Linked DNA regions of Macaca mulatta. The protein of the gene in region 2 binds, or shares a complex with, the protein of the main gene of each other region. Links are inferred from orthologs where the notes say so. Each region holds a gene or a part of one and is shown on either strand. Other genes may lie near its edges.

What was found.
Region 1: MBTD1 (region 2) and VPS72 share a complex: the UniProt entries of both Homo sapiens proteins name them as parts of the nuA4 histone acetyltransferase complex. The link is inferred for Macaca mulatta from reciprocal best matches to the Homo sapiens genes MBTD1 and VPS72.
Region 3: MBTD1 (region 2) and BRD8 share a complex: the UniProt entries of both Homo sapiens proteins name them as parts of the nuA4 histone acetyltransferase complex. The link is inferred for Macaca mulatta from reciprocal best matches to the Homo sapiens genes MBTD1 and BRD8.
Region 4: MBTD1 (region 2) and ING3 share a complex: the UniProt entries of both Homo sapiens proteins name them as parts of the nuA4 histone acetyltransferase complex. The link is inferred for Macaca mulatta from reciprocal best matches to the Homo sapiens genes MBTD1 and ING3.

The regions. Positions count from the first base shown.
Region 1 is NC_133406.1:115,896,562-115,902,673, forward strand, and holds the start of VPS72 (vacuolar protein sorting-associated protein 72 homolog), read left to right. Parts: upstream 1-2,741; 5' UTR 2,742-2,777; coding exon 2,778-2,894; intron 2,895-4,230; exon of another isoform or gene 4,231-4,570; intron 4,571-6,112. UniProt on the Homo sapiens protein: Deposition-and-exchange histone chaperone specific for H2AZ1, specifically chaperones H2AZ1 and deposits it into nucleosomes.
Region 2 is NC_133421.1:58,808,626-58,814,114, forward strand, and holds part of MBTD1 (MBT domain-containing protein 1), read left to right. Parts: intron 1-1,525; coding exon 1,526-1,673; intron 1,674-3,372; coding exon 3,373-3,455; intron 3,456-3,864; coding exon 3,865-4,099; coding exon of another isoform or gene 4,100-4,134; exon of another isoform or gene 4,135-4,595; coding exon 4,596-4,673; intron 4,674-5,489. UniProt on the Homo sapiens protein: Chromatin reader component of the NuA4 histone acetyltransferase complex, a multiprotein complex involved in transcriptional activation of select genes principally by acetylation of nucleosomal histones H4 and H2A.
Region 3 is NC_133411.1:147,031,727-147,037,835, reverse strand, and holds the start of BRD8 (bromodomain-containing protein 8), read left to right. Parts: upstream 1-2,034; 5' UTR 2,035-2,076; coding exon 2,077-2,095; intron 2,096-3,019; coding exon 3,020-3,116; intron 3,117-6,109. Other genes in the region: kinesin-like protein KIF20A, read right to left, coding at 850-1,014. UniProt on the Homo sapiens protein: May act as a coactivator during transcriptional activation by hormone-activated nuclear receptors (NR). Isoform 2 stimulates transcriptional activation by AR/DHTR, ESR1/NR3A1, RXRA/NR2B1 and THRB/ERBA2.
Region 4 is NC_133408.1:160,719,713-160,725,747, forward strand, and holds the start of ING3 (inhibitor of growth protein 3), read left to right. Parts: upstream 1-2,166; 5' UTR 2,167-2,286; coding exon 2,287-2,314; intron 2,315-2,553; coding exon 2,554-2,625; intron 2,626-4,695; coding exon 4,696-4,796; intron 4,797-6,035. UniProt on the Homo sapiens protein: Component of the NuA4 histone acetyltransferase (HAT) complex which is involved in transcriptional activation of select genes principally by acetylation of nucleosomal histones H4 and H2A.

The DNA.
Region 1 (6,112 bases), on a different chromosome or scaffold from region 2:
TCCCAAAGTGTTGGGATTACAGGCATGAGCCACCGCACCCGGCCAAGAACACTAGAAATTATTCCTCCTGTCTAAATGTAATTTGGAGCTAAGCGAGGTGGCTCAGGCCTGTAATTCCAGCACATTGACAGGCTGAGGAGTGGGGATCACTTGAGTCCAGGTGACCACTGTGGGCAACATAAAGAAATCTCATCTTCACAAAAAGTACAAAAAATTAGCCGGGTGTGGTGATGTGAGCCTGTAGTTCCAGTTACCTGGGAGGCTGAGGTGGGATGATCGCTTGAACCCAGGAGGTCGAGACCACAGTGAGCAGTGATTGCATCACTGCACTCCAGACTGGGCGACAGAGTGAGATCCTATCTCAAACAAACAAATGAACAAATGAACAAACAAATGTAATTTGGGGCCGGTGTGGTGGCTCACGGCTTTAATCAGCTCACTTTGTAAACCTCTCACTTTGGGAGGCCAAGGTGGGAGGACAGCTTGAGCCCAGGAGGTCAAGGAGCCAGCGAGCCATGATCCTGCTGCTACACTCCAGCCTGGGCAACAGAGACCCCGTCTCAAAAAAAAATGGTAATTTTGTGTCTTTTTTTTTTTTTTTCTTTTCAGATGGCGTCTTGCTCTGTTGCCAGGCTGGGGCGTAGTGGCACGATCTCAGCTCACTGCAACCTCTGCCTCCCGGGTTCAAGCGATTCTCCTGCCTCAGCTTCCCGAGTAGCTGGGACTGCAGGTGTGTGCCACCACACCCAGTTAATTTTTGTATTTGTAGTAGAGACGGGGTTTCACCATGTTGGCCAGGATGGTCATAATCTCTTGACCCCGTGATCTGCCTGCCTCAGCCTCCCGAAGTGCTGGAATTACTAGGCGTGAGCCACTGTGCCCGGCCCAATTTTGTCTTTTTTTTTTTTTTTTGAGACGGAGTCTCCCTCTGTTTCCCAGGCTGGAGTGCAAATGGCGTGCGATCTTGGCTCACTGCAACCTCCGACTCCCGAGATCAAGCAATTCTCTGCCTCAGCCTCCCGAGTAGCTGGGATTACAGGTGCCCACCACTATGACCAGCTAATTTTTGTATTTTTAGTGGAGATGGGGTTTCACCATCTTGGCCAGGCTGGTCGTGAACTCCTGACCTCATGATCCACACCCTCGGCTTCCCAAAGTGCTGGGATTACAGGTGTGAGCCACAATTTTGTGTCTTTTAACAAATCTGGCCGGGCGCGGTGGCTCAAGCCTGTAATCCCAGCACTTTGGGAGGCCGAGAGGGGCGGATCACGAGGTCAGAAGATCGAGACCATCCTGGCTAACACGGTGAAACCCGTCTCTACTAAAAAATACAAAAAACTAGCGGGGCGAGGTGGCGGGCGCCTGTAGTCCCAGCTACTCGGGAGGCTGAGGCAGGAGAACGGCGTAAACCTAGGCGGCGGAGCTTGCAGTGAGCTGAGATCCGGCCATTGCACTCCAGCCTGGGCGACAGAGCGAGACTCCGTCTCAAAAAAACAACAACAACAACAAAAAAAACAAATCTTTCCCTGTCCCTTCCTTCCCCCTGCACTTCCCAGCCCCCAGTATCATCTGTTCTATTTTTTATTTCTATGAAATCAATTTTTTTAAAGCGTCCACATATGAGTGAGAACACGCAGTGTTTAAATTTCTGTTCGTGGCTTAAGTCAGTTAACGTGTCCTCCAATTCCGTCCATGTTGCTGCAAATGACAGGATTTTGTTCCTTTTAATGGCTAAATAGTATTCATTTGTGTATATACACCTCATTTCCTTTATTCATCTGTTGTTGGACACCTAGATTGATTTCCTATTTTGGTTACTATAAGCAGTGCTGCATTAAATATGGGGGTGCATAAATATGGAGTGCGGACGTCTCTTGGAAATACTGATTTCCTTTTTTTTTTTTTTTTTCCTAAATCAGCTTCCTTATGTTGAATTATGTCCTTTCCTTCGGATAAATGTCTATGGCTGTGTTTTTAACCACAATATTATGCTTTCTTTCTCAAGGATTTTGGACTTTATCTTGTAGATGATGTGGAGCCATTAAAAAATGTTGAGGAGAGGACTGGCAAAATCTGGGTTTTTAGAAAATTTGAAAGTTTCCTACTGGCAGCAGTGTGGAAAACGGACTGGACCGGGGAGAATGACCTCTTCTAAAAGAAAATGTGAGCCTGGCGCGGTGGCTCACGCCTGTAATCCCAGCACTTTGGGAGGCCGAAGCGCGCGGATCACCTGAGGTTAGGAGTTTGAGACCAGCCTGGCCAACATGGTGAAAGCCGTTTCTATTAAAAATACAAAAATTAGCTGGGCATGGTGGCGGGCGCCTGTAATCCCAGCTACTCGGGGAGAATTGCTTCAGCCCGGGAGAGGGAGGTTGCAGTGAGCCGAGATCGTGCCACTGCACTCCAGTCTGGCGACAGAGCGACCCTACGAAAAAAATACATATATGTGTGTGTGTGTGTATATATATATATTAAAAACAAAAATAAATAAAAGAAAATGTGTTGACTTAGGTTTATGCGGGTCGTCGTGCCACCAAGTGGACTCATTGAGCACTAGGGCAAGCGGCCTAGAGGTTCCGCGCAGGAGTAGGAGAGGCTGAAGAGTAAAGAGGGTTTAGAAGGTGGGAGTAGGAGTCTCTCGACACTCTGTTACTTCTGCCTGTAAACGCCCGACTTCCGCCGCTGGTGTCCACCCGCAGGTAGCGGTGTCGAGCGTCGAGCTCCCAGAAGCGAGCTGGTGAGGGGCTGCAGGTGGCGGAGCAGTCTCCTTAGGCGGTATGAGTTTGGCTGGGGGCCGGGCACCCCGGAAGACCGCTGGGAACCGGCTTTCCGGGCTTCTGGAGGCAGAGGAGGAAGATGAGTTCTACCAGACGACTTATGGAGGTTTCACAGAGGCAAGATCCGAGCCTGGGAAAAGGGAGGGGAGGAAGCGAAGAGGAGCCCTGGAGGGAGGATCTCCGGACAAAGAAGAAGAAGGCGGGGAATAGAGCGGAGCTCTGGGAGCTGATACCCTAGATGGGTGCGGTGAATCGGAGCCGGGGGGCGGGGCGGGGCGGGGGGACGGATAGTGTGGAGTCCTACAAGGGAGACCTCTGGATGGGGTCAAAGGGGCATGAGACGGAGAAGCTTTGCGGAGGCACTCCAGAGAACGGCAGAAACCTACCGCATACTTGCGTAGTTCCATCTCTCACTGTACTTCTGACCTCCAGCATACGTCAGGCACACAGATAGTAGTAGTCAGTCGCTGGATGTATACTTGTTGGCCCACTGCCGGATTATTCACCTGAGACATGGAAAGGAACTGCTCCAAAGGTAGAGATTAGCCCACTCCTTTTTCAGCTTTCAAGTCTCAATGTATATGTTTTCTCAGGAAGATAATCCTTCCTTGACTATCCTAACAAGTGTCCCCATTTATTTCTCCCACAGAACATATTTCAGTTTGTAATTAGATTCGGTTTGCTTACTTGCTTATGTTTTCCTATTGCATTGTAAACTGTATAAAGTTAGGGATGGTCTGTTTTGTTCAACATTATGTGTGAGGTGTCCGGACTGGGCTGCCACTTGCTAAATTTTTTTAGTTGAATCTACCCGTTTCTTAAATGTGTTGAATACCCAGTGCATGCCATCGGTGATAGGTTGTATTGGGCTCTAGGGAAACCGAGAATATTAAAAACAGTGCTCTGTCCTTACATACTCCATGCCCCAGTGGGGTAACTGGTTGGGTTAACAGTTAAAATACTGTGTGATAGGAAGGGCACAGTGGCTCACGCATGTAATCCCAGCACTTTGGAAGGCCAAGGCAGGTAGATCACAAGGTCAGGAGATCAAGACCATCCTGGCCAACATGGTAAAACCCCAGTCTCTACTAAAAATACAAAAATTAGCCAGGCGTGGTGGCGTGCGCCTATAGTCCCAGCTACTCAGGAGGCTGAGGCAGAGAATCGCTTGAACCTGGGAGGAGGAGGTTGCAGTGAGCCGAAATCATACCACTGCACTCCAGCCTGGGCGACAGAGCAGGACTCTGTCTCAAAAACAAACAAAATGTGTGATAAGGACTAAAACAAGGTGTAAGATATAAGATAGAGTGTTAAGGTAATACATCTGAACCAAAGCTGTTGATCAGGATAGGCATCCCTGGAGGGATGATGTTTAAGCTGAGGACAGTTTGAAAAGTAGACCTTAGCTTGATGAAAAGTGGGAGAAGGAGAAAGGTAGTCCACAGAGCAGATCGGGGAGAGTATGTAAAGACGTTGAGATCCTGGTCTAGGACCTGCAAGTCTACTTTCATTCTCCAGAGCATGAAGGAGACTAAAGATTGATAAGCCTGGAGGGAGTAGGCATGGGCCAGATCATTAGGGCCTTGTGAGCCATGTTAAGGAGTTTTGCTGTTCATCCAGAGGACTGAGAAGAGTCATCCGAGTTCCACGATAAAATTTGTACTTTAGAAAGATTACTTACTCTGTAATGAGAATGGCTTGAAGGCGGCATGGCAGTAGAGAAACAGAAAGATTGAAGATAAATTAAGGAATAGAACCCACAGGATTTAGGGGCTGAGTGTGGTGGCTCACGCCTGTAATCCCAGCACTTTGGGAGGCTGAGGCGGGTGGATCACAAGGTCAGGAGTTCGAGACCAGCCTGACCAACATGGTGCAACCCTGTCCCTACTAAACATACAAAAAATTAGCTGGGCGTGGTGGCACGCGCCTGTAATCCCAGCTACTAGCTTGAACCTGGGAGGCGGAGGTTTCAGTGGATCACTCCACTGCACTCCAGCCTGGGCGACAGTGAGACTCCGTTTAAAAACAAAAACAAAAACAAAAAACCCCACATCACTGAGTCATTACTGACACAGCCCTGACCAACTAGTTTAAAATAGAACTTTCTCATCCCTCCTCTAAGGCCATTTTCCTATTTCTGTCATTTTACGACTCGTTATTTAATATGTACCCTTCATGCTTCCAACAAGGATTTAAGGAGGCTTACAATATAAACAAAAAGTAGAAACGGTAAAAATAGAGACAGATCAGAAGTAATTGTACCAGGAACCTCTGCTAAAATGGTAATAGCAATTGATATTAAATTTAGCTGTGAGCTTCCTGGTAGCCAAACCTTGTATTTCTTTTTTTAGTAAGAAAGAAGCATACAAGTTGTTCAAGAGAGACAAACTTATTCAGTCTTAAATCCTAGGGAGCATTTATCATTATATCCTTATATTATAAAAAGTAACGGTTTTCGTAGATGATATACAAACATTCTCTTATCTAGTGATGTGTATTAATGACTCAATAAAAGGCAAAGGAATGGTAGTAATTTAGTGCAAGTATTTTGATTGGGCACTAAGCTAATGTGTGGTTGATCTACTACCCTCCGGTGATATGGCTTAATACCAGATTAAGGCTGAGGGGATTAATGTGTTCCCAGGCTGTCTTTTACAGGCATCAATTGGGAGGAAATGATGGTCATCAGTGCAAAATTGAACTCTGGCTGGTTTGGAGGGTCAACCATCTGTGTTATTTGCTTGCTTTGGCATCATGTGTACCAAGATTAGCCCTTTAGTCTGCATCACTGATTGAAGAGAGAGCCACATGTGTGAGGTGTCACCCAGCCCAGTTGACTCCCTCTCCCTCAACTGACTTTTTTCCCTTTTCTTTCTAATATGGCTGCCATTCTAGCCCTAAACAGTATCACCTCAGGTCTAGGCTGTACTTCACATTCTCTACTCAGGCCATCTAACTGCCTCCAGAGCTCTCTGAAATACCCCTTGTACATACTGTTACCCCTCCCCTATATCTTCGGTGGCTCTCCGTTATCCATAGTAGCAGTACTCAGCTGTTTTTCTGTCCCAACACATCTGAGGAATGACACATATTTCTCTCAGTAACTTTAGTTTACATAAACAATGATTATCAATGGTCGGACAAATAAGGAGATGGAGGGGATTGAGAATTATTGGCCTGCAGGTTAAAATTGTGTTTATTAGTGTGACATTTAAGTTTCTCCATAAATGGAATGCAGGAATGCAAACTTCTTTTCTTTTTTTTTTTTTTGAGACGGAGTCTCGCTCTGCTGCCCAGGCTGGAGTGCAGTGGCGCGATATCAGCTCACTGCAAGC
Region 2 (5,489 bases):
TTGAGACAGTCTCGCTCTGTCGCCCAGGCTGGAGTGCAGTGGCATGATCTCGGCTCATTGTAACCTCCGCCTCCCAGGTTCAAGCAATTCTCCCTGCCTCAGCCTCCCAAGTAGCTGGGATTACAGGCGCCTGCACCATGCCTGGCTAATTTTTGTATTTTTAGTAGAGACAGGGTTTCACCATGTTGGCCAGTCTGGTCTCGAACTCCTGACCTCAGGTGATCTGCCTACCTTGGCCTCCCAAAGTGCTGGGATTATAGGCATGAGCTACCGCGCCCGGCCAAAATATTTTTAATATAATGGAAATTGGGAACATTAGAATATAAGAGATGGTCTTTTGAAAGCAAAATTCCAATGGTAATAGGACAAGATGGGGAAGTTTATCTTAGTTTTAAAGAGTGGGGGCAGCCTGGCCAAGGTGGGTGGGTCACCTTAGGTCAGGAGTTCCAAGACCAGCCTGGCCAACGTGATGAAACCCCATCTCTACTAAAAATACAAAAATCAGCTGGGCATGCTAGCACATGCCTGTAATCCCAGCTACTTGGGAGGCTGAGGCAGGAGAATCACTTGAACCCGGGAGGCAGAGGTTGCAGTGAGCCAAGATCAACCCATTGCACTTCAGCCTAGGTGACAAGGGAAACTCCGTCTCAAAAAAAAAAAAAGGCGGAGTGGGGACAGCCGGGAGTGGTGGCTCATGCCTATAATCCCAACACTTTGGGAGGCCAAAGCAGAAGGATCACTTGAGCCTAGGAGTTTGAGACCAGCCTGAGCAACATGGTGAGACCCCATCTCTACAAAATAAAAATTAAAAAATTAGCCAAGTGTGATGGTGTGCACCTGTAGTCCTAGCTACTCAGGAGGCAGAGACAGAAGCTACTTGAGCCGGGGAGGTCAAGGCTGCAGTGGGCCATGTTTGCACCATTGCACTCCAGCCTGAATGACAGAGCAAGACCTTGTCTCAAAAAGGGGGAGTGGGTTACTTGTTACAACAGTCTCTGAGGCGTGAAGAAACAAACAAGAGGACCCTTAACGTGGACCAGCCTTAGCATCTGCCATAGAGGAGTATGGTTATCTGTAGCATAAAAGAGATGAAGTTGGAGGTTGAAGAAAGTGGAGACGGTTTGTAAAAACTCTATGTGATAAATCAGAAAGAAAGAAGTAAAAGTGATATCAAGTAGGATTTGGAGCCTAGCTGAAACTAGATAGGTAAATTATAAGAGCACTCAGCCCCAGTTTCATGATGCTGCGACAGCAGGCAGCTATAGCCATGGTCAAAGGCACTGCTTTTCCCAGACCTCTGAGGTCAGTTCTAGGTAATCCTGCTTTTATTTCTGGAACACACTAGAATTTACATAGGTTTTTTTCATTAGAACTTCTGTTATTTAACATAACTCAATAGAGAAGCATGTTTCACTTTGAAGAGACCTTTATATAATAGATTTTCCTTTCTTTTAGAATGTCAAAGTATTATTTTTGTAATAGTAGTATCTAATTTCAAGTACTTAGAATTCTCTTAATTTAAAAGGTGCTAGCTGATGGATTCCTGATGATTGGGATCGATGGCTCAGAAGCAGCAGACGGATCTGACTGGTTCTGTTACCATGCAACCTCTCCTTCTATTTTTCCTGTCGGTTTCTGTGAAATTAACATGATCGAACTTACTCCACCCAGAGGTACTTCATCCTAATATAAACACTGGAGTTTAATCTTTACTTTCTTCTTACATGGTTTCCATTTACAACATTTAACACAGCTCTAGATTTCCTGAGTATGTATATAATGTGTGTGGATATACATATACATACAGGAGCTGTAGGTTGCTCTAAAAATATAAAGTACTGTATTCTAGCTTACTTTAATAAATTACAGTAGTATATAATTTTTCCTGAGCATCTGTGTATTTTATAACATGAATTGGTATTCTCAAACTCTGTTGAGTCAGTAATACAGGCTCAACAGGCTATGGCATATATAATTTTTTTTTTCCCCCAGTAAAGACAGGGTCTTACTCTGTTGCCCAGGCTGAAGTGCAGTGGCACAATCATAGCTCACGGTAACTTCCAATTCCTGGGTCCAAGCAATCCTCCCACCTCAGCCTCCCTAGTAGCTGAAACTATAGCTGAAAGGCACAACCATGTCTGACTTTTTTTTTTTTTTTTTCTTTTTTCTTTGTATGTACAGACGGGACTCTCACTGTGTTACCCAGGCTGGTCTTGAAATCCTGGCCTCAAGTGATCCTCCCACTTCAGCCTCCCCAAAGCACTGGGATTAGGAGTGAACCACCACATTTAGCTATGTGGACTTTTTTTTTTTTTTTTTTGAGACAGTCTCGCTCTGTCACCCAGGCTGGAATGCAATGATGCTATCTCACCTCTTTACAGCCTCCACCTCCCAGGTTCAAGTGATTCTTGTGCCTCCCCTCCCAAGTAGCTGGAATTGCAGGTGTGCACCACCACGCCCAGCTGATTTTTCTATTTTTAATAGAGATGGGGTTTCACCATGTAGGCCAGGCTCATCACAAACTCCTGGTCTCAAATGATCTGCCCACCTTGGCCTCCCAACGTGCTGGGATTATAGGTGTGAGCCACTGCACCCAGCCCTATGTGGACTTATAAAAGGATGGCTGTTTTACTCATGGTTTAACCAGTCATTTTCCAAATTTTAATACTTGAGCATTAAGTTGTTCCTCTAAGAAAGGAGGAAAGCTATAACAGAGGTCTATAAACATGGCATTTGCTCAGCCAGTTTTCTTTCTTGCAAGGAAAGAAAAATATCACTCCATAGTATTAGGTGCTAGACTCTTCTAAAGCCTAGGATTGAAAGAGCAAGTGTACCCTTGTAGTAAACAGAAAAAGAGAGCCACTTTTGCGTTACACTAAGTGGGCGTACCAGTGTTTCTAGAAAGGGGAGGGAAATCTGTGTAACATGGAAGAATTATTGCACTAGCAGTATAAATCATATAGGCCAGGTGCAGTGGCTCACGCCTGTAATCCCAGCACTTTGAGAGACTGAGGCAGGAGGATTGCTTGAGACCAGAAGTTTGAGAACAACCTGAGCAACATAGGGAGACCTTGTCTCTACTAAAAACAACAAAAAATTAGCCTGTCACAGTGGCATGCACGTGTATTCGCAGCTACTAGAGAGGCTGAGGCAGGAGAATCACTTGAGCCCTGGAGGTTGAGGCTGCAGTAAGTCGTTGAGAGCACTACTGCACTCCAGCCTGGGTGACAGAGCAAGACCCTGTCTCAAAAAAAATAAAATTGATCATGTAACCTATGCTCTTAAGATTTTGTATACTGTTACTTTTTGTCTGCATTTTAATATTATGCTAATTTTAAATGAACTGCTAGTTAAACCAGTTGTGTTTTTTAGGTTACACAAAACTTCCTTTTAAATGGTTTGACTACCTCAGGGAAACTGGCTCCATTGCAGCACCAGTAAAACTATTTAATAAGGTAAATTTAAATGGCAGCATAATTATGTGAGGACTTATTAATGCCCCACAAATACAATTTATGTTCATAAAAATGTCTTTGCTTTATATTAGAATTTCTCATTGGAGATGTAATATAAACAGATATATAGCAATGAAACAATATGAATATTTTCTTTACCTAGGAATCAAAACTTGTTTCCAAACTATGTTTCATGTTTAATCCGAATGAAAATGAAATGAATACTTTTCCTAACTAGTTTTTCAATGCTTCACCTTCATATTATGTTTAAATAGTTAAAGAATTATTTGGAATTTTTGGTTTAAATTATGTTATTTACCTTGTCGCGTCTGTTTTTTGCTTTCTTAATGGTAGTAGGGTTGCGCATTCTTTCTTTATACCAATATTAATGTTTTCTTCTCTGTGTCAGGATGTTCCAAATCACGGATTTCGTGTAGGAATGAAATTAGAAGCAGTAGATCTCATGGAGCCACGTTTAATATGTGTAGCCACAGTAACTCGAATTATTCATCGTCTCTTGAGGATACATTTTGATGGATGGGAAGAAGAGTATGATCAGTGGGTAGACTGTGAGTCCCCTGACCTCTATCCTGTAGGGTGGTGTCAGTTAACTGGATATCAACTACAGCCTCCAGCATCACAGTGTAAGTTGGTATACAGAAAAGGTGTCCTTTTGTAAAAATCAGCAATTCTCCAGAGGACTATCTCACATAAGTCATCTTTTGAGCTCACAGGACAAGAATATACCTATGTCTGATTGGTTGCCAGGTAAGACATTAAGACTCAACAACAATATCACAGAATCAGACCATGTGTACCATGGCAGTGTGAATCCAATAGTCAGTTACATAATGACTATAGAAACACAACAGTCACCAAATTAAACTAGACTTACTATTTTAGTGAGTTAAAAATTACAGACTAAAAGTTTATTGGTATGTAATAAATGGTTTTGAGTAAATAGTGGAATCTGTCTCGTTTTGAGGCTGTGGTTTTGTAGGAACAAGTATCCTTATTTTCAGACCATGATGTACTTAAATAAGTCTTGGTAAAGATAGTTCATCTAAGTTGTATCTAGACAACTGTATCATCTAAATTGTAAACAATTATCTGGTACCAATTTTCCTTTTTATTTTTCAGCATCAAGAGAAAACCAATCAGCTTCATCAAAACAGAAGAAAAAGGCTAAGTCCCAGCAATACAAAGGACATAAGAAAAGTGGGTCACCACGTGGTGTTCACATACATTTTCTAATTGTTAACTAATTGGAGTCACAGTGTTCTTGGACAGAAAATGCTATCTCTTGTGAGAACTGATGATTGTGCGTTATGTATTGTGCTTAAAGGTGCAGTATGCCATAAAAGGCAAACCCTTGCAATAATGAGAAACACTGATGTTTTACTGACAGGAGAAATGATTACCACAGTATTTAAAGTATACATGGTAAAGAATAGAGCCTGTGAATGACTCTTGAAATAATATGTAAAACCTACTAAAATTTAATCCTTTTTAAAAACTTTATTTAAAAAGAAAAATTAGCAGCCGGGTGCAGTGGCTCACGCCTATAATCCCAGCACTTTAGGAGGCTGAGGCGGGCGGATCACGAGGTCAGGAGATTGAGACCATTCTGGCTAACACGGTGAAACCTGTCTCCACCAAAAATACAAAAAATATGCCAGGTGTGGTGGCGGGCGTCTGTAGTCCCAACTACTCAGGAGGCTGAGGCAGGAGAATCGCGTGAACCTGGGAGGCAGAGGTTGCAGTGAGCCAAGATTGCGCCACTACCTCCAGCTTGGGCAACACAGCAAGACTCTATCCCAAAAAAACAAACAAAAAAACATTAGCAGATGCTTGATGCTTACAGTAGATGTGAAGCCTAATAAACCCATTTTTCTTAGAAAGCAAAACTTTCTGGAGTGATACTGGTAAGAAATCCAAGTTGATGGCAAACAAGCTTTACCAAATCTTTCTAGAAATGCTTTCTATACTAAAAAATTAGCCAGGCGTGGTGACTCATGTCTGTAATCCCAGCTA
Region 3 (6,109 bases), on a different chromosome or scaffold from region 2:
AAGCAAACAAACAAAAAACCCCAAAAAAACAAAAAAACCCGCAGATATTTAGAGTGCCTACTATGCCCTAGGAACTGAGAAGCTCTGATAGTCCATAGTGAGAGACATTATCAAGGACCATGCTGTCATGGAACTTTTTAAGTCTCTAAGAGAAACTCTATAAAAGCACAAAATGTGACAATGTATGTTAATGTTTAGCATAGGACCTAGTACAGTGTTTCTCAACCAGGGTCATTTCCACTCCAAAGGCCATTTAAGCAATGCCTGAAGTGCCTGAAGACATTTTTTGATTGTCACAAATGGGAAGGCACTACTGACATCTAGTGGGTAGATGTCAGGAATGCTGTTAAACATCTTACAATATACAGGACAGATCCCTACAAGAACTGTCTAGCCCCAAATGTCAACAATGCTGTGATGGAGAAACCCTGGCCTAGCAGGAAAGCTACAACAAATTGAAGCTATGGTGATACTATCAAAACCTGAACATACATTCCACTTACATAATGCCTATATGACCTTGTGCAAATTATTTAGCACAACTGGGCCTCAAGGCAAAGAGAGATAACTATTATTTCCTGATTAACTGAGAGCATGCACTTGAGGGTATTTCATTAATGCAATGCAAATAATAGTTCTTCTGGACACACAACTCTTAATTTTTTTTTTACTTGTCATGCCCTTAATTTTTTTTTCTTTTCGTAGCCATTTTGTCCTACATGCCCCTAATTTTGAATTGATCTCTCAAACCTTCAGGATTGCTAGTCTTTGACCTCATACTACCGTGTATGGACAACTATTGACCTGAGGATGTCACTTTCTGCCCCAGCCACTCCCCAGTTCCTTTACCTGCTGCTTGTCCTCTAGGGAGGTAGAGATGACAGAGCAGTCTGACAGCAGGTTCTTGCGTACCACAGACCCCAAATCTGCAGCTGTGGACTCAAACATGGGAGAGACTACGACATCGTCATCGGACAGCAAGCCCGCTGGCGGAGAAAGGATCCCTTGCGACATGACGGCAGGGGCAGCCTAGGTCTAAAAAGAGACCAAAAAGTGGGCAGGGAGAAGAACCTTTAGGGACAGAAGGGGCCGCGAATTTTAGGTAATAAGTCCCTTGCCCCAGGACACCGGGTCCCGCTCCCTACTTCCTTTCCCCTCTAATTATCGGCAAAGGGGAAGGGAATGAGAGAAGTTCACTTAATGAACAATCGAGAGAAGTTTGAGGTTGCATTTCTGAAAGCGAACAGAAGTCCACAGAAATCTGGCTCCAAAAGCAAAAGGCCAGGCCTAAAGTAGGGCACCTCGCCCGCCGGTGCTGTGGAGGTGGTGTCAGGATCCCTCGGCTCCTTTTCTAACCTCAAGGACCACCGTGAGAACAGAGATGCAGCATTAAGAGAAAAACAGATGGCTGCAGTTCCGATTTCTTAAAGCCTATTCCGCGTGGGCAAGAGCTGGTAACCCGGGCTCCAGCACAGCCGCACACTCACCCGAAGACGTGCCACTTGCTCCTCCTCGGGTACCGGCTCACTCACACCTAGTCGCCGAACCTGGACTTTCGCAGCCGGAGAGCACAACTCCGCCCACGAGGTGCAGCTTTGTTACCGATACAATATTTTAAATTACGCGCTGCGTTCGTTCGGCCAATGAGATAGGGAAGTCTGCAGCTACCAATCCGCGTAAGGAAAAGGGGCGGGTCCGACTGGAATTCCAGTAGTTTGCATCCGCTTGACCTCTCAGATCTAATGTGGGTCCGGGTTACCAACTGTCGCGGGTTAGGAGTTATTTCGCTTGGGATTCTTCCAGCTTAACCCTTTTTCTTGAACCTTAGACATTTCTTACCTAAGAACCCTAAAGGAAATCTTGAGGCTTCAGCCGCCAACCCCTGTCCTTCCTTAGCAAAAATCTTAAAAGGATTGCACAAGATAACTGGTTTAGGGTGCTTGCTTTGTCTTAGGGGAAAAAACGACATTTCCCAGGAGGCACCGCGAACCAACGCCGGTACTCTACTTCCCAGAATTCCAGGGTTTCGGCCCTACCAGACCGTCTCTCCTCAGGGTTGGAGACTTCGGGGCCAAGATGGCGACGGGAACGGGCAGTGAGTATCTGAGCAGGTTTTGCGTGAAAGGCGTTTGTAGATCCGAGGCTAGGCACCATATTTTTGTTACACGCTTAGGGAGTGGGAGAAGTGGTTTGCTTGAGAGCTCAGGGTTTTCAGAGACCTGCGCTCCACAGCATCGTGAAGACCAACGTTTGGGGGCCCAGAAATCTGGGGTCTTGTTTCTCAGGGAGGGAGCGGAGGTGTGAGAGAAGGAGCTTAGTGAATCCTAGTGTGTTAGGAGCCCTTCGGGGTAACCGTAAAAGCACTCTAGAAACTTGGGCGTGCAGACGAAAAGATGTTATGAGCCAGACGGAGTAACCGGCACCTCAAAGAGCCATTCATTTTTTGTTCGACGTTTGTGAGGCAGTGGAAGTGGGGCCTTTTAACCATGAGCTTTTCTTGCCACTCAGGAAATTGCATCTCGGGGATTTCAGCCATTTTTCTTTTAGTGGACTGAAAAGGTCTTTTAGGCCCGACATTTGGAGTAGAGGATCTGAGAGAAGTAAACAAGTTTATGCTAAGAGGGAGGCGGGGTTGTAGGAGGGGCTGGCCGCTCGGGTTCCTGGGAAATAAGCCCTGAATGAGTTCAAACTGGAATAAAGTCCAGTGTTCTTAAAACTGGGCTTTTAGGGAGAACTGCCTAATCTGACATTCCCAATTTTTTAATAAAGCGGAGCTTCAAGCCGTGGCGTTTTAAGAAATAAAATGTTAATAATTCACATGCAACAAATTGGTACCACGGTCACTGGTGATACTTCACTTGGAGAGGTGAAAATCAAGATTTGGTGATAGTAGCTCACTTTGTCCTAACAAGTTGGAATATTTTGTATTAGGCTTTTAGTCCCCTTTTTGGGGATTTTGGAGCTTAGCACTACAGTCTCAGTGGTTGCTTCCAAGGCTTTTTTTTTTTTCGTTTCCCAGAACACAAGCTGCTGAGTACTGGCCCCACAGAGCCATGGTCCATCCGAGAGAAGCTGTGTTTAGCATCTTCTGTCATGAGAAGTGGAGATCAAAATTGGTAAGCTATCTAGGATGTCAGCTTTTCTGGGTCTTAGAAATTGTTAGATACTCTTTCACATTGATAGATTTCTGTAGTTAATCATATTAAGCTGTAAGTAGACTTTTTCTTCTTCCCTTTTTTTTTTTTTTTTTTTTTTGAGACAGTCTCCTTCTCTCGCCCAGGCTGGAATGCAGTGGTGCAGCCACGCCCAGCTAATTTTTTTAGTTTTTAGTAGAGACAGAGTTTCGCCATGTTGGCCAGGCTGGTCTCGAACTCCTGACCTCAGGTGATCCACTGGCCTCAGCCTCCCAAAGTGCTAGGATTACAGGCGTAAGCCACTGCGCCTGGCCATGCCTGGCTAATTTTGTATTTTTAGTAGAGACAAGGTTTCACCATGTTGGCCACGCTGGTCTCAATCACCTGACCTCATGATCTGCCCGCCTCGGCCTCCGAAAGTGCTGGGATTACAGGCGTGAGCCACTGCTGCCGGCCTTTTTTTTTTTTTTTGAGACAGGGTTGCACTTTGTGGCCCAGGCTGGAGTGCAGTGGTGTGATCTTGGCTCACTGCAACCTCCATGTCTGAGGCTCAAGTGATCCTCCCACCTCAGCCTCTTTAGTAGCTGGGACTACAGGTGCACACCACCATGCCCAGATAATTTTTTGTATTTTTTTGTAGAGATAGGGGTTTCATCATGTTTCCTAGGCTGGTCTTGAACTCCTGGGTTCAAGCGATCTGCCCACCTCAACCTCCCAACCTACTGGGATTACGGGTGTGAGCCACCAGGCCAGCTGTATTTTTTTTTTTAAACAGCTTTATTGAGATATAATTCACATACTATAAAATTAACTTACTTAAGATGTACAATATAATGGTTTTTAGTATATTCACAGTTGTGCAGCCATTACCACAATCTAATTTTAGAACATTTTCTTTATTTTTATTTTTTTTATTTTTTATTTTTTGAGGCTCTTGCTTTGTTGCCCAGGCTGGAGTGCAGTGGCGCAATCTTGGCTCACTGCAAGTTCCGCCTCCTGGGTTCATGCCATTCTCCTGCCTTAGCCTCTCGAATATCTGGGACTACAGGCGCCCGCCACCACGCTCAGCCTATTTTTTTTTATTTTTAGTAGAGACGGGCTTTCACCATGTCAGCCAGGGTGGTCTTGATCTCCTGACCTCGTGATCAGCCCACCTCGGCCTCCCAAAGTGCTGGGATTACAGGAGTGAGCCACCGCATCTGGCTGACATAACGCTTTTAAGGTTCATTCTTATATAGCAGGTATCAATACTTAATTCCTTTTTTAGCTGAATAATAATCTGTTATATGAATATACCAAATTTTGTTTATCCATCGCTTGATAGACAATTGGGTTGTTTCCACTTTTTGACCATTATGAATAATGCTGATGATACGCACATTTGTGTACAAGGTTGTGGACAATGTTTTTAATTCTCTTGAGTTTTTTATTCAAGGAGTGAAATTGCTGGGTTATGTAGTAACTCTATTATGTTCGCTTTTTTTTTTTTGCAGACAGGGTCTCACTGTCACCCAGGCTGGAGTGCAGTGGTGCAATCTTGGTTCACTGCAACCTCTGCCTCCTGGGCTCAAGTGATTCTCCGGCCTCAGCCTCCTGAGTAGCTGGGACTACAGGCACATGCCATCATCCCCGGCTCATTTTTGTATTTTTTGGTAGGGATGGGGTTTTGCCATGTTGCCCAGGCTGGACTTTTTTTTTTTTTTATTTAAATATTTATGTTTTTGTAGAGACGAGGTCCCACTATGTTCCCCAGGCTGGTCTCCAACTCCTGGCCTCAAGTGATCCTCCCAGTTTAGCCTCCTGAGTAGCTGGGACTACAGACCCTTGCCGTCATGCTTGGCTGAATTTTTGGGTTTTTTTGTCACTTGTTGCCCAGGCTGGTCTCGAACTCCTGGGCTCAAGTGATCCTCCCACCTTAGCCCTCGAAAGTGCTAGGATTATAGACGTGAGCCAACACTCCCAGCCTAGAACTGTCATCATTTTACCTTTCTTGGTATCAGCCCCTCACCCCCGTTGTTTTTTTTTTTTGCATCATCCATTATGAATTTAACTCTCTTGCCACATTGATAAACAATTCAGTACTTTGCTGATTGTCATGCTTCCTAGCATTTTGTGTGTGTGTGTGTGTGACGGAGTTTCGCTCTTTTTGCCCAGGCTAGAGTGCAATGGCGCAGTCTTGGCTCACCGCAACCTCCACCTCCCGGGTTCAAGTGATTCTCCTGCTTCAGCCTCCCGAGTAGCTGGGATTACAGGCATGCGCCACCATGCCTGGCTAATTTTGTATTTTTAGTAGAGATGGGGTTTCTCCATGTTGGTCAGGCTGGTCTTGAGCTCCCGACCTCAGGTAATCCACCCGCCTCAGCCTCCCAAAGTGCTGGGATTACAGGCGTGAGCCACCACGCCTGGCCTTGTTTGTTTTTTAAATCTAATTTCTGAAGTAATACGTGGCCACCATAAAAACAAAAACACTATATAAAAAGAGCAACCGCAACAAAGAAATGGGTTAAAAACTTGAGTTTATTTTTTGTCACACATACAGGAAGTCTAGGCAGTCAACAGCTCTCATAGCAACTTCACAGTGACATTAGAGGCTCAGGATCTTCTCTTTCTGTGCCACCTTCCTCAGCACATAGTTTATCTTCTGGTTATCTTATGGTTCACGGTGGCTGCTTGACCTTCAGCTATCACATCCGTGATCCATGCAACAAGAAGGAAGGGGGTTGGTAAGAAAGGTCACATCCCTTCCCTTTTAACAACTTTTTTGTGATATAATTGATGTGCAGTAAACTCTACCTTTTTTTGGGCGGGGGGGGGGGTGGAGTCTCACTCTGTTGCCCAGGCTGGAGTGCAGTGGCGCAATCTTGGCTCACTGGAACCTCTGCCTCCCAGGTTCAAGTGATTCTGCCACCTCAGCCTCCCGAGTACCTGGGACTACAGGCCTACGCCAGCATGCCTGGCTAATTTTTGTATTTTTT
Region 4 (6,035 bases), on a different chromosome or scaffold from region 2:
GAGTCTTATAGCAGACAAAAATCTGGGACCCCAATGGACTATACGCTCCATGTAAGGGTAAATGACTTATAAGCCTCATGCACAAAATAGGCCAGTAATGAAACGTGTCTTGGCCTTGGAGCCCAGCAAAGAAAGAAAGAAAAAATTCTCCTCTGAGAATCTGTAACAATTCATTTGGGATAGAGGCCCAAATTCAATCTATCTGTGCAATACAATAAACCTCAAGTGGACAATTTAATCTGGTCCTAGGGTTTATGATGTCTCCAAACAAATTGACAAGCAAATTCTAACGCTCTCCAGGAAAACTCAATTTCAACTCCAGCCTCAAAGAATCCTTATGCTTGTAATCCCAGAAACAGGAATTCAGAGTCCAAAATCACAATCCAACAGGAAATAGGCACCATAAGCAAAAGTGCCCATTTCTGAAGCAATAGCGCAAAAAGGCCCACACATTTTTCAATATTAGGTTTAACGGAAACAAGATACAGACTAAATAATTTGTATAAATTAGAAAATGGCTTGAAAAGAGAACCAAATAGAACTTCTAAACCTGAAAAATTCTGAAAATTCTAAAATAAAACATATAAAAGAAAGATTAAGATAAATAAGAGAATAAAGAGAGTAAGTCTTAACGGAAAAAATGAGAAATAAGCAATACTGAAAAGACAATCGTTGAAAATTTTCTAGAATTGTTGCAAGACACCAATCCTGAAATTCGGGAATCCCCTCAAATCCTAAGCATAATTTTAAAAATTTAAGGAAAGAAAAGGGAATAAGGAAGGAATTTAGACTTAGATCACTGCAAAACTGCAAAAAGACGTCAAAGAGATCTTAAAAGCAACCAGAAGGAGGAAGGATGGGAAAGAGGAAAGGAAGAAAGGAGGAAAAGAAGGGAGAAAAAGATTGAAAGTACTTGATTTTAGATGCAAGTAATGAAAAAATTAACTAGAAACTAAAAAATTCTAATTCTTATTCAGATCGAAGTAAGGTTCCGCTGAGATTCATCATGATTCATCATTCACGACAGGGAAGTTTCCTGCTTAAGATGAGTGAAAACCTTGAGTAAGAGTATGTAATGGAGAAGGAAAGCAGGGAACACACACACACAGTTTCAACTGCAATCTGAAAAACAGAAAATGAAAAATAAATTATCAACTAATGACAATTTCCCCAGAAAATCGAAGAGCTAAGAAGAGAGGAAAACAACACCTAGTATTTATTGAATGCAAGAGTTTTTAATAAAAACAATGTAAAAAGAAACTGAGTAGGGACGTACTAACTATATCACAGGAAAACCTTCGCTGGGAGACGTCGAAAAGTAGAAAAAGAACGCCCAAGACAACCAACCTCGAATATGGACTATTTACTCAACATAAAGTTACTGCTATTACAGCCTATTCGAGATGAAGGCTCCATCCGTAATTCATGGCTGCTCACTATGATGATGATGATGATTATTACTATTATTTGTGGGTGCACATTGTATGTATAGATCAATTACATTAGAATGACGATTAGACGGACTGCAAACTACAATATGTAAGTGGCTATTGACACTATTTGTGCATCTTTTAATCTGGGAAATGCATATTCACTCCACAGTCTCAGTATAAACCATTTCAAAATTACACGTAAGACAACCAGGTGTCTCTCTTATATTTTAGGAGTGAATAATGAGGATAAATTCCAGCAGAGAGTTCTGGTTTAAGTAACCCAAATTCCCCGAACTTTGCTGATTATCCTAGCGTTTAGAACCTTTGCTATTTGCCTGGCACTTCTTGAAACCCATGACTCACAAACGCCGGGGCATGGAATCACAGCAAAGAACAGGTGAAAAGTTGTTCCTAGTTGTGTTATGCAGGCGCACACAACTCCCGCCATTCTCTGTGCAAAAATCAACAAATAAACAGAGGCACCGCATTTCGGATTCTGTTACGCACTGTTTGCAATGGCGCCTGGTATTGGTAGTTTCTACGAGGGGAGCCGCCAGCGCGCCAACCCTTGCTCAGCAGGAAGAAAACTACATTTCCCACAAAGGCACGGGGGCGAACACCGGCCGGCTTACGTCATTCCTTTAACCAACCAATAGCAGTTCCGGGCGGCAGTGAGGCAAGCGCCGTCAGGCGCCAAAGTGGTTTTTTTTTTTTTCTCTTTTTTTTTTTTTTGCCGGAGTCGAGCGGGTGCTGCTAGCGGAGGCGCCATATTGGAAGGGACAAAACTCCGGCGACAGCGAGTGACACAAATAAACCCCTGGACCCCCTTGTTCCCTCAGCTCTAAGGGCCGCGATGTTGTACCTAGAAGACTATCTGGAAAGTGAGTGCGCGGCGCTGGCGGCGGCCGCCGGTGGGACCTGCGGGAGGGCAAGAGCGCGAGTGGACGGGCAGCGAGATGGCGGGAGGGAGGGGGCGGCGGGGGATGTTTCTCTCTCACGGTAACTGGCAGCCTCGTTGTGGGCTGCCGGCCCCCTCGACCCCCCTGACGCACGCGCGCAGTGACGTAAGCGCGTATTTCGCCGTTGGCCCCGCCCCTCTGACGGACTCTCCCTTTGACAGTGATTGAGCAGCTTCCTATGGATCTGCGGGACCGCTTCACGGAAATGCGCGAGATGGACCTGCAGGTGCAGAGTAAGTCGGCGCGTCTGCTCTTCATGTTGGCTGCGCGCGTTCAGTGCCAGACTTGCTTTTCATCACTGCTAGCGCCTAATGCTCTTTCACTGTCCTCTGGCTCACTCCGCTAGTGCATAAGGAGTTGTCAAAAAGAACTGGCAGCCCTGAATCTCGCCTTTTCCTTCCCTCCCATGCTACTTTTTTCTGGCTTTTGCAAGAGGAGGCGGCATTGGGACAGGTGTATTCCTTTCTAGAATGTAGGATTGTGCAAAAAATATTTCTCTACCGTCATTGAGATAGTTATCTATGTTTCAATGCACGTCAGCATAATAAATGTTGAGATGTTGTCTTGAGCCTTTTCGTATCGAACTTAGATTTCAGCATTTATACTTATTTTAAAGTTCATCCTATTCAGTTTTTCAAGAGTGGAGAGCATAGAAGCACAGGTTATATATAGCTCTTTAGAGACCCTGGCGAATGTCAAATTTTGAAAACTTAGTTACACATTATAAGGTACATTTTAAATTGTAACAGAATCGTCATTTTCTTGGTTATAATGAGTGACAGAAATTAGATTTCACTGTAAAGTTTCATATGTGCTGTACTAAAAATTTTAGCAGTTAGTGAACATTTATTTTTCTTTCAGTGATAGCTTGGTAGTCTCTGTGACTTTTTCCCCAAATTAACTTTACTCTTTCGTAGAGCAAGGACTATAAATAGGTGGCTTAGGGACCACTTGCTGCAGCTAAGAACCTGTCCTTTTCACTGCCCCTGTCTTCTCTGCCCGTGACCACACACCCACTTCTATACCCTTTGTTTATGCGTATATTTTTCCAGTAAGTTTCAGGTGGCACATAATAAAAAGTGGTGGCATGGAAGCCACCTTCTGTTCAGTGGATTGTGGTATGAAGTATGAATTGTGTGTGTGGTTCTCCAGCTATCTCACAAATTCATTTTAATTTTAGTGTAGTCGAAATGCTAAAGATTTGCTGAAGTATTTTCTGCAGGACTGAGCATAGACATGGATGTCAGATAGATCTGAGTTTGTTTTAGGGCTTTACTAATTTACTCATTGACTCTGACTGTATTACCACTTGTGTGGGGCTTTCATTGTCTGTAAAAAGAGAATCATCTAAGGATTTAAAATATTACAGATGGATTAGAATTTATAGTATCTGATACAAAGTAGGCATTAAATAAAGGGTAACTTATTTTAAATTTATTTTTATATTTTGTTTAAAATTTTAAATTCTCATAATTTGGGCTTACAGTATACATATTACAGGGTTTTTAAACGTGCATTTCTTTACAGTAACGAATTTTCTGAAGTTAATAGATATTATGGATTAACAGAACAGTGTGCCAAATAAATTCAGAAATGCTTATTTAAACAAAGGAAGATACTGAAAATTAACCATAGTACTTCACAGAGTCTTTAAAAGGCTATTGTGGACTGAAAATCTCCAAAAGAAGTATGCTATGAAAAGATTTTTCTCAACTTACGTAACAACAGAATCCTTTTTATTAATTTTTCCTTTTTTTTAAGCAGACATCCAATGAGATGATTAGTCTTAGCACTTAATTTGGGGAAAATTTATCTAGAATTAATGTTTAAATGATTGCACCTACTACTTTCAGTTGGGATATGACATGATGAGATGTTTAATGCCTTATACCAAATCTTTTTATCACTTTTTCTTGTTGAAAGAAATGTGAGGATTATCTAATGGTGTTTTCATTGTGTTTTGGTACATTTGTCTGATTAACACCTATAGCTTTTGACCCCAAGGCTGTATTGCTCAAAAATTATAGGATAGAGCCGATCTACTTTGTTGACTCTACTTTGGCTATTGGAAAAAATTTTGAAATAACAAAAACAAAAATAATCTGTCAATAAGGAAAATTGTAACTTTTTAAAGGAAGGTAATTGAGGCTTTATATATTTACATAATCAAAGCATAACATATTTAAGTTACTGGCAAAGTGAAAGAGTATATATTGTCAGATTTTTTTCCCTCCCTAAATCAAACCATGTATATTTAGTATATGAATTTGGTCATTTAATATGATTTTTTTATTATGTCATAGATGCAATGGATCAACTAGAACAAAGAGTCAGTGAATTCTTTATGAACGCAAAGAAAAATAAACCTGAATGGAGAGAAGAACAAATGGCATCCATCAAAAAAGTATGTGCGACACTTTGGATAATTTATCAAGAAATATTGGGACCCTCTGAAAAAGATATTTCAAAATTAAATAGTGATCTGGATATCAAAATAAGGGAATATTATCAATGACTCTTTAGAATGTAAATAATTTAGTGTGGTTTAGAGCTTCAGATAGCGATTTTTAGTCATTAAAGCATTTTGGTAATTAAAAATATTGTTTCAATAATTAGTGACTATTAGAAAGTGACAGACCATTTAAAAGTTACATTTTTTTTCTATTTGTTTTATTCTAGTTGTGTATGATTAATGTTGAGTCATTTCCAGAGATGGAGTACTGTATTCCAGTTTTGTCCACAAACTAGCGTAAATAAACATCAGCAGACCTTGAAGAATATTTTATATATTGCTAGGTACTTGAATTAGTGGACCCACAGAAGAACAAAATCTTAAAAGTTAGAAGGAACTTAAGAAAGCCTTTTAGTTAAAAACTCCAAATTTGCACGTGAATTGGTCTGGAAACATAGAATTCTTTGAGGTTTTGTTAGTTTTATAGTGGTTATAGCTGTCTTCCAGAACTGAGTGAGTATACACTCACATCTCAAAGTTTGCTTTACAAATATGATCCAGTTCATTCCGGGATGGATACATTTGAAGAACAACTGAAAATACTTGAGTTTGGTCATGACTCTGCTATTTAGCTGTGTGACATTAAATCTTGATATTTCTGACTAATAATGCCTTCCGAAACCCAGTGTTCATAGAATTGTTCAAGGATCAACTAAGAGGCCGGACCTGGTGCCTCACACCCATAATCCTAGCACTTTGGGAAGCTGAGGCGGGTGGATAACCTGAGGTCAGGAGTTCGAGACCAGCTTAGCCAACCTGGTGAAACCCTGTCTCTACTAAAAATACAAAAATTAGCCAGACGTGGTAGTGGGCGCCTGTGATCCCAGCTACTTGAGAAACGGAGGCAGGAGAATCACTTGAACCCGGGAGGTGGAGGTTGCAGTGAGCCTAGATCGTGCCACTGCGCTACAGCCTGGGCAACAGAGTGACAGAGTAAGACTCTGTCTCAAAAAAAAAAAAAAAACCCCAAAAAAGGGGATCAATTAAGAAAGAAATTTGGAAACTACAAATTGAGTAGTAATGTTGTTATTTATTCTACCACATGGAGGGAAGATTATTTCTGTTAGGGGAAAAAAAAATGATACTCTATAACAGAAGTGGTCCTAGCTTGGAAGAAACCTGGAGGGACAT